Macaca mulatta: one gene and its partners. The protein of the gene in region 3 binds, or shares a complex with, the protein of the main gene of each other region. Links are inferred from orthologs where the notes say so. Each region holds a gene or a part of one and is shown on either strand. Other genes may lie near its edges. The genes, in order: CACYBP, USP19 and SIAH1.

Region 1 (3,656 bases), on a different chromosome or scaffold from region 3:
TGCAGTGAGCTGAGATCCGGCCACTGCACTCCAGCCTGGGCTACAGAGCGAGACTCTGTCTCAAAAAAAAAAAAAAAGATTAGTTCATTTACTGCTTTTATGGAAACAATTTTGTCCTACATCTAAATATCGGTAGTTCTCCACTAAGCTGGATGGCTAAGTATCAATACTGTCTAATTCCATAACCATTTCTACTTCTCTAAGTAGTATAACAAATGGAATCCTAGCGCTCTTAATTCCTTTCCAGGGCAAAACAGAATGTAAACGACTCCAATTCTTCATCCAAATCTGACAAACCTACTGGTATCTATTAAATGCCATTTCAGTATGTATTATCAACCTACCAGCAAGTCTCTAACCTAGAAGAACTCTGTCAACATACAAGACATATACGCTTCACAAAATACCATCGTATTTGTAGAAAATAAAAAACTTCACAAAAAGCATCTTCTGTTTATCAAGAATATATACATACATATCCCTGACTCTTCCTCACTTAGTCCTACGGAATAGAAACATGCCCCATCCTCCATGACATGTTTTCACACTGCATGCCTGTATCAAAACATCTCATGTACCCCATAAATACATACACCTACTATGTACCCACGAAAATTAAAAAGAAACATAGTGTTGATCAAAAAAATGCCCTAGAGGGTTCCAGAGAACTTCATTTATTAATAGTTTCTTCCCAGTCAGTCCATCCTCCGGTTTGACAAGTTTCTCCCTCAACACAAATCTATGTTCCTGGTTAAAATGCCATAATCCTAAACACCTTCAGACCAGTTTCCCATACTCAACTGAGTACACGGTGCAATTTCATGTAGTACTATATAGTACATCACTTAAGCACGACATACACATGCTTTTCACTATAACAATACTCAAAATAGATCATGCCTTCCAAGTCTCTATTCATGTCCTCTGCTCATGCTGTTCCCTTCCTTTTGCTGAACGTACAGCTCACCCTTCACACTCATCTAATTCTCCCTGTTCCTCACCTCCAGAATTATTTCCTCAGCTATGTTACCTATTATGTGCTAGACATTATTAGCACAAAGAAAAACCAGACTGTCCTTGCTCCAATGAGAGCTCATCACTCTCACTGAAGTTGCACTGCCGCCAAAACAAAAACACTATATACACCACTGAAGGAAAACAGTATTAGTTTTTGCTAATACTGTTTTGCTAATACATTGTTATGCTATGAGTTATACGTCTATGTCCCAACCACACCATGAGAAAGGATTGGGTCTTAGTCACTGTTGTGTATCCGTAAGTCCAAGCACAATAGTGATATACATTAGGTGCTCAAAAATATTTCCTGAATTTAACTGGATTCCTCTCCTCAGTTAATTGTAGTGGTTGGCAGAGTGAAACATAAAACATGATTAAAAACCACCACCACCACCAAAGCGGTGCCTCATATATACTGAATAATTTCAGAATAAGTTCCTTCCTTGTTGCTACTCCTCATCTTTGTAGTAAATCACCTTATTCTTGTTAACAGCTTCTAGAATGTATCCTTTCCTATTTCTATCTAAAGAAAGTTTTATTAAATAAAAACTGATGGGTCTTCCTCCAAGCCACCGAAAACACAGCCTCAAAACTCATTTAAAGATGAATTTGTTAGATCACTATGAGGAATAGGTTGCTCGGAGGCAAAACTGGCCACAGGGAAGCAAGTCATACCATAATTACTGATTTTCACTGTATAGCCCGTTGTAATGGGAGCAACCACAGCAGCTGGTTTTTCATTATCAAGAAGTTCTGCTTTCTTCTGTGATTTCTGTTGCATCTTGTTCTTGATTTCTGTCTCAATCTTGGACTTTTCAGCTGTAAGGGCATCACGTACTCTTTTCCTAGTAGCCTTTTCCAGCAACACCTTTACCTCTTCTAGATCTTTCTGTAGCTGTGTTAAGACAAAAAATAAGTTAGCTATGATCAATAAGGAAATAGCTTGATATTGTGCTTATCACTCATTTCAACTTACTGAAATAAGCACTAAAAATTAAGAGGTTCATCTAAATTTTCTAGGATTGAGTTGCAACTTCAGTTCTTCCCTCCAGCTTATTAACTGTAATTAACTCAAGCTTCCTTTTTTTCCCAAAAGGAAAACTTTGAACAATCTTGAACAAACAATAAATAAGGTAATCAAACCCAAATTTTCCAGTTTATATTTGCTTTAAAATATTTACAAGAAACATCTGCGATTTAAACAGTAAAACAAAGACTTTTTTTTGACAAGGGATTCAGAGATTTCCTTTAACATCTAATCCGAGTGTCATCAGATGTTAGACACTTTTAAAAATTTAAGAGATGAGAGAACACACAGTGACCATGGTAAAATGCTACACAGCAAACTTTACTGAGGTAATGAATGCTCCATTTTCTGTCACTGATTGGTCTTCACTGATCTTCCCACCTCAAATACCTCAAATAAAGAGAGTCCGAATTTTTAAGACAAAATATTAAAAAAAAAAAAAAAAAAATTCTGCTTTTGAGAAAAAGTCTTGCTCTGAAGCTGGGTCAGTCTTACAGTTAGAAGTGTAGGAGTTGGTTGCATAGAAGGTGACAAAAGACCCAAAATGCAACATACTCTTGGAAATTATCTTTTGAAAAAGCCACCACGTTCTCATTTTCTTCTCATGCCAATCCATCATCTATTAAAGTCTACTTCTTTTTACTTTCGAGAGATAGAGGCAACATTTTATGAAATTCAAGAGTTAAAGACAATGTTAGAAAATTATTGAGCCTAAGTCTTTTTCCCCCAATTACCCTCTGACATACTGCAAATACACAAGATCTTTCCAAACAGCTGTTTCACTTCTTACAGTAACTTTACACTCTAGCTTGATACTAGCAACTTGACCAAAAAAATCTTGTGTCACAGCTTGATTATATCAAAAGCTCAATTTAAAAGTCTTTTAGTGCTTTATAACTCAGAATATCAGACGCACAACAGCGTTTGAAAGCCTTTGTTTCTTAATAGTCTTATAAAATGCAATAACAGAACTAATTCTTTTCTTTTACTACTAGTCTTTTATTATCTCATTTAACTCAGATGCCCTAGTTTTGCCTATCTACAACAGATGACATGGTATAAAAAGTTCAACTCTCGCCGGGTGCAGTGGCTCACACCTGTAGTCCCTGCACTTTGGGAGGCCAAACGGGTGGATCACTTGAAGTTAGGGGTTCGAGACCAACCTGACCAACATGGCGAAAGCCCGTCTCTACTTAAAATTCAAAAATTAGGCGGCCATGGTGGCATGTGCCTGTAATCCCAGATACTCAGGAAGCTGAGGCAGGAGAATTGCTTGAACCCGGGAGGCAGAGGTTGCGGTGACCCGAGATCGCGCCATTGCACTCCAGCCTGGGCAACAAGAGCAAAACTCAGTATCAAAAAAAAAAAAGTTCAACTCTGCCCAACCCTCTTGTCCACACTCTCCCCTTCCAAGAACAGCTCATAATACTATGACAAAAACTCTTGCAAACTCGTCTTTTGAGCATAGAACCAAGATGTTTCCGTTCAAAATAATACATTTTAATGGTTTCAAAAAAAAAAACGCTGATTCTACAACTCCTAATTCATAAAATATTGAAATGTAAAATGAAATATAGTAAGTCTAAGTACGAGGTTTTGCTTTTTGACTGAA
Region 2 (2,880 bases), on a different chromosome or scaffold from region 3:
GAGGTGCTGGCACCCGAGGAGGCCTGGTGAGAACAGAGCAGCAAGCAGATAAGGGGGCAGGACGGAGAAGAGAGAGACTTGCTGGTCCTGACCCAACCTCTGTTCCCACCAGGTACTGCCCACAGTGCAAACAGCACCGTGAGGCCTCCAAGCAGCTGTTGCTATGGCGCCTGCCAAATGTTCTCATCGTGCAGCTCAAGCGCTTCTCCTTTCGTAGTTTTATCTGGCGTGACAAGATCAATGACTTGGTGGAGTTCCCTGTTCGGTAAGCAATGGACCTTGGTAACTGTGCGTGGGGTGTGAGGACCAAGGTGGGCATCCTGAGCACCTGCTGCCTGTCTCACCCCTCCCTGACTGGACCTGACCTGCAGGAACCTGGACCTGAGCAAGTTCTGCATTGGTCAGAAAGAGGAGCAGCTGCCCAGCTATGATCTGTATGCTGTCATCAACCACTATGGAGGCATGATTGGTGGCCACTACACTGCCTGTGCACGCCTGCCCAATGATCGTAGCAGTCAGCGCAGTGACGTGGGTGAGGGCACACACAGCCAGCAGGATAGATGGTAGGGGTGGTGGTGCAGACTTCGTTCACACTCTTCCCACCCTGCCGTAGGCTGGCGCTTGTTTGATGACAGCACGGTGACAACGGTAGACGAGAGCCAGGTTGTGACGCGTTATGCCTATGTACTCTTCTACCGCCGGCGGAACTCTCCTGTGGAGAGGCCCCCCAGGGCAGGTCACTCTGAGCACCACCCAGACCTAGGCCCTGCAGCTGAGGCTGCTGCCAGCCAGGTGAGGCATGTGGGCGGCTTTACAGAATAGTGGGGGACAGCTCACAGACTGCGGGGCAGGGTTGGGGATATAGCTTCCTCTCCTCCAGCCACAGGCTCCCTGAGCCTTGGGATTCATGAGAATTGCAGAGTTCCCTTAACATCAAAGCTTTATCCAGAGGCATCCCCATGCCCTGGGGACACTAACATACAGGTACACTAACATGATGCCACTGGCAAGCACATTGGCACCCAGTTGGCACAGGTCAGGCAACTGCTCTGAACCTCACTGGGCACTGTGCTATGAATGGACTATAACTGATACTCTCTAGATTTCCTCTGCACATTCCCCACATGCTAGCCCACACACCCTCACTTGTGATGTCCCTGAGTTCTATTGTGCACTCAAGACAAGGCCTATTTGGGCTGGCCATGGCTTCTGGTGGCTGTTATACTCTCTGAGGTAAGCATCTGTCTTTGCTGAGCCTTCAGGATCTTCTCTCTCTTTTAGTGACATTATGTGCCATAGGCCCAGTTGGTGGGCGTAGGCACATCTCTTTTCTGGACTGGCCGCCTCCTTTCTGGCTCCATCCTCTCTTAAGCCTTCTCTGTCAAGGATTAGAGAAGTCCCTGCAGAAGACTGGTCAGGATCTGGGGTGTGGGTGGGAAGGAACAAGGAGATTGCTCTGGGATTGGCGCCCTGTTTCCTATAAATCAGTGTCCTCTGGAGAGGCCTGGACTGAAATACTAACCAGATAACTCCCCTCCCACCTCCATGCGGAGCTGCACGTGGATTGAAAGCTGTTTAGGGTAGGCCAAAATGCTGTCAAGATTTACTTACACTTGTGCTCTTAGTCTGGACAACCCTGAGGTTGGCTGCCTGCCTTCCTCCTTGCTGCTTGATCTAGAATGCAGAGTGTTAGCCCCAGTCACCCCAGGTGGGACTATCATGGCTAAGGGTCTCAGGGACACTGGGTCCTCCCCATCCCTGGGGTGCTGATGGCCGTTTCCACATACCCTAGGCTTCCCGGATTTGGCAGGAGCTGGAGGCTGAGGAGGAGCCGGTGCCTGAGGGGCCTGGGCCCCTGGGTCCCTGGGGGCCCCAAGACTGGGTGGGCCCCCCGCCACGTGGCCCTACCACACCAGATGAGGGCTGCCTCCGGTACTTTGTCCTGGGCACCGTGGCGGCTTTGGTGGCCCTCGTGCTCAACGTGTTCTATCCTCTGGTATCCCAGAGTCGCTGGAGATGAGCTCGCCTGCAGGCAGCTGCTGTGAGCTGGCCTACCTGCCTGCCCCAGGCCATGCCTGCCTTTGTTGTGGGGAACACCTCTGGGCTTTGGGCCTCAGCTTGTGCATCTGGTGGGAGAGGATGGGGAGGCTGTGGCCCCTGCAGGGGCAGAGCATCGTAGGGTGTGTATCCATCCAGCTGTTTGTCCATTCATCCTGCTGCTCTGACCCTTGGCCTCGGGCTTGGCCTTGCCCAAGCTACTTCCTGTACTTAAAGTGTTAATAAAGCCAGACTATTCAGGCCCAATCTTGTCTCTCTGTCTGAACGCCGCTGCTGTCTGCGCCTGCCTTGGGACCCTCCCTTGGGTGCCAGGGCTCCAAGCCAGCACCCCCGGGATGCCAGGCGGCATGCTGGGCAGCCCCCAACCCCTGTCCTCGTATTCTGTTGCAGGGACTAGGCCCTGGCCAGGCCCCCGAGGTGGCCCCCACGCGGACAGCCCCTGAACGCTTCGCCCCCCCTGTGGATCGGCCAGCCCCCACCTACAGCAACATGGAGGAGGTGGATTAGCAGGTCCCTGGCTGATGGGGGGGACTGGGTTTGGGACACCCACCACAGAGGGCCAGCTCCTTGCCGCTTCTCCTTCTCTAACCCAGAGGACACTGGCTCTGTCAACGGGAAGCTGTGGGGTATGATTTGGGTGTGGCGACCTCTCAGGTTGGGACTTCTTGTTAGCTTGGACCCCTGACCAGTGGGCTTTGGCTTCTCTAGCCACCTCCAGTGCTGTGTGATTTGATTCTGTTGTACCTTCAATTCTTTCTGACCCGCATTATAAACATTATAATTTTATTCTAAAAATTGTAATTTTTTTTGCATTTTGGAAGT
Region 3 (2,796 bases):
TAACATTCACTGGATGCTGATATGAACAAAGCACTGTTTCAGGTAACATACCTGTACCCCATTAAAACTTTTTAAGTAGCTACCATAATTTAACCCCACTTTACACATTAGGAAACTGGGGCCCAAGGTCACACAGCTGGTTAGTGGGGTAGAGCCGAGACTGGCACTTAGGTGCCTGAAGTCTGGCTGCAGAACCAAGGCTCTTAACCACTAGGCTATGAAATAGTAAATTTATTATTTCATTGTGCTTTTTTAAAGAGGTGAAAAGTGGTCAGCATTTTAGTCATTCTCCTGACAGTTGTAAGAATCAAAATGTGGGCAAGAGGGGCAGAGCATGGGAAAGACTGTAATCCAGAAGCCATATACCCAGTTATTTGCTGTGATTTAGAGTATAACTCTACCACACTTAAAAATGACAACACACAGCTTTCTGCTATATAATTAAAGTACGGAATGAAACAGGAAAATAACTTTGGATTTTATCAAACTTAGAGCTAAAGCAGACACAGTAAGATTTTTTTAATTTGCCAGAAATTCTTTTAATGAGAATTATAAAAGACCAAAAACATTTTTTTGCAAACTGCCTTTTTAAACAAATGATTTGCTTTTAATTACAAATACTGTGCATGACGATGCCTTCTTTTGCAAAACCAATAAATACAAGAACAAATTTTAAACATGTGATTTATCCAAGATATTTGAAAAAGGAAACAAAAGCCTGATTTGCAGTACTTATAAAAATCAATTTATTCTCTAACCTTTCAAAGATTAAGCTCAAAGGTGTGACTCATCCGTAGAAGAGAGAAAGAGAGAGACCATCTTACAGATGCTTTAAATAGCTTTTGATCATTTTTCCGATGTCACCTTTACTTTCTGGAACTCATAGCTTCACAAAGTAGCTGATTTTAAAATATTTCTAATGAACTGATTAATGGGGGAAAAGAAAATATTGAACACATGTTACAAACTTTTACCATAACAAGTATGCATATCAAAAGACACTAACTTTAAAATGGTACAAAAAAAGTGAAGAAAAACCTGAATTACAGAAAGGAAAGTCAAATTTATTTAATGAAAAACTAAAATTAATAAAAATTAGCAAATACACACACAAAAAAGCACACAGCAGCACTATGTATTGACTCACAAAGGGGAAAAGCAGTGGCCCATGACCACTCAAGATGGCTTGTCAGTTAAAGGAGAAAAACCCAAACACGCACACACCCACGCACGCACACACTCCCACGCAAAAACAAAACAAAAAAACTATTTTTCAACAATACAATCAATCTACAACAAACACAAAACTCAGAATTATTTTACAATGCTTCCTTTCTTAATACAAAAGATGCCCATCTTGGGTGTATATACATATATTTTTTCAGTGGTTTACTGTTGACTTATTTTTAAATATATTAGTGTTACTACATGCAACTGTTTCCTGTATTTAACAGCCTTTCCTTTCATTTACCTTCATGTGTCTAGCTTCCACCTACCAAAAGAATTTTAGGTTGGCAGGCAGATGGGTGCCTTATTTTCTGTGAAACTGAAGTTTTAAACACTGGCCAGAAAATGTTTGATTGCCATTTCAACACATGGAAATAGTTACATTGATGCCTAAATTGCCATTTTCTGCAAAAAGCTGTGCAATGCTGGTGTCAAAGACTAGGCAGTCGCTATTCATAATGGCTGTTGCAATTCCTTCATGAATAGATCGAGGAGTCGCTTCCCAAGTCAATCGTCGCCTGTGACCATTTAGCTCAAGTCGGTAAGCAAAATTTTCAGCTTGCTTGCGTGTTCCTATCAGCTGTACAATTGCAAAGAACTGCTGGTGACCATCGTATTTTTCCTGTTTCTCCAAGACTAACATGAAGTGAAAGCCAAAACAGGACTGCATCATCACCCAGTCAACAGCACCAGGAAGATTAATGTCTGTAGCAAGGAAAACTATATCCTCTCCCTGTAGGGTTGTAATGGACTTATGCTGATGCATCAGATGGGGCATTACAGCATCCAAAGAGCCTTGCCATTTACAGGAAGCACCAGGGCACGGACAGGAATAAGGCCTAAACTCACAGAGCTCTTCGTGGTCTGCTTTTTCTGTGTGTGGCAGAGTTATTTCACATCCAGAAGAGGCATATTTACAGGGGAAAAGTACTGAATTAGCCACTTTCTCCATAGCCAAGTTGCGAATGGATCCCAAAGGGCCCCGGCAAGTTGGACAACATGTGAGCTTTGGGCGACAGTTGCTACAAACAAGATGGCCACTCTGACATTGAAGAATGGGTGGTAACACATAGTCAAAGCAGACTGGACACTCAAAAAGACTCGCCAAGTCATTGTTGGATGCAGTTGTGCCAGTCAGGGCAGGTACCCTCTGGGATGGTGGACACTTCGAGGTACCAGTAGGTAATGCTGTAGCAGTCTGACGGCTCATTTCTGAAATAAATACATAAGGAGGCAGGAGAAAAATAATTATAACCATGACTTATTTTACAAATAATGTTTACATGCCAGAAGTACTTTTAAAGTTTCATGCAAAATTTACTGAGCAAAAGAGAAAGAAAAATAAATAGAATTTAAAAAGTAACATACTAAAAAATAAAATTACACTGAATGTGCACTTTATTAGGATCTGTACACTGGATAAGCTCTCTTTTCAAAATATTCCGGAAAACATTTGGAACTCCCTTAATCGTCTTTGGATAGACTACATGGAATAATAAATGCTAAAATAGAAGATGGACCATAAACAACTAGAGAAACTATACAAGGAACTGAAGTTTAATCGAATCC

Evidence for each region.
Region 1: the proteins of SIAH1 (region 3) and CACYBP are in contact, whole or in part, in a crystal structure (PDB 2A25), measured with the Homo sapiens proteins. The link is inferred for Macaca mulatta from reciprocal best matches to the Homo sapiens genes SIAH1 and CACYBP. Residues at the interface, in NP_003022.3 of Homo sapiens: Leu158, Gln159, Asp162, Ile163, Val164, Phe165, Leu166, Ala167, Thr168, Val176, Asp177, Trp178, Val179, Met180, Asn276; in NP_055227.1 of Homo sapiens: Lys59, Pro60, Ala61, Ala62, Val63, Val64, Ala65, Pro66, Ile67.
Region 2: the proteins of SIAH1 (region 3) and USP19 are in contact, whole or in part, in a crystal structure (PDB 4X3G), measured with the Homo sapiens proteins. The link is inferred for Macaca mulatta from reciprocal best matches to the Homo sapiens genes SIAH1 and USP19. Residues at the interface, in NP_003022.3 of Homo sapiens: Cys130, Pro131, Thr156, Leu158, Gln159, Asp162, Ile163, Val164, Phe165, Leu166, Ala167, Thr168, Leu172, Val176, Asp177, Trp178, Val179, Met180, Asn276; in NP_006668.1 of Homo sapiens: Lys463, Pro464, Thr465, Cys466, Met467, Val468, Pro469, Pro470, Met471.

What each region holds. Positions count from the first base shown.
Region 1 is NC_133406.1:32,460,838-32,464,493, reverse strand, and holds part of CACYBP (calcyclin-binding protein), read right to left. Parts: intron 1,913-3,656; coding exon 1,693-1,912; intron 1-1,692. UniProt on the Homo sapiens protein: May be involved in calcium-dependent ubiquitination and subsequent proteasomal degradation of target proteins. Probably serves as a molecular bridge in ubiquitin E3 complexes. Participates in the ubiquitin-mediated degradation of beta-catenin (CTNNB1).
Region 2 is NC_133407.1:112,545,271-112,548,150, reverse strand, and holds the end of USP19 (ubiquitin carboxyl-terminal hydrolase 19), read left to right. Parts: coding exon 1-26; intron 27-112; coding exon 113-265; intron 266-371; coding exon 372-532; intron 533-613; coding exon 614-792; intron 793-1,792; coding exon 1,793-2,020; 3' UTR 2,021-2,304; downstream 2,305-2,880. UniProt on the Homo sapiens protein: Deubiquitinating enzyme that regulates the degradation of various proteins by removing ubiquitin moieties, thereby preventing their proteasomal degradation. Stabilizes RNF123, which promotes CDKN1B degradation and contributes to cell proliferation.
Region 3 is NC_133425.1:43,773,505-43,776,300, forward strand, and holds the end of SIAH1 (E3 ubiquitin-protein ligase SIAH1), read right to left. Parts: intron 2,440-2,796; coding exon 1,589-2,439; coding exon of another isoform or gene 1,486-1,588; 3' UTR 530-1,485; downstream 1-529. Other genes in the region: LONP2 (lon protease homolog 2, peroxisomal), read left to right, coding at 1,486-1,605. UniProt on the Homo sapiens protein: E3 ubiquitin-protein ligase that mediates ubiquitination and subsequent proteasomal degradation of target proteins.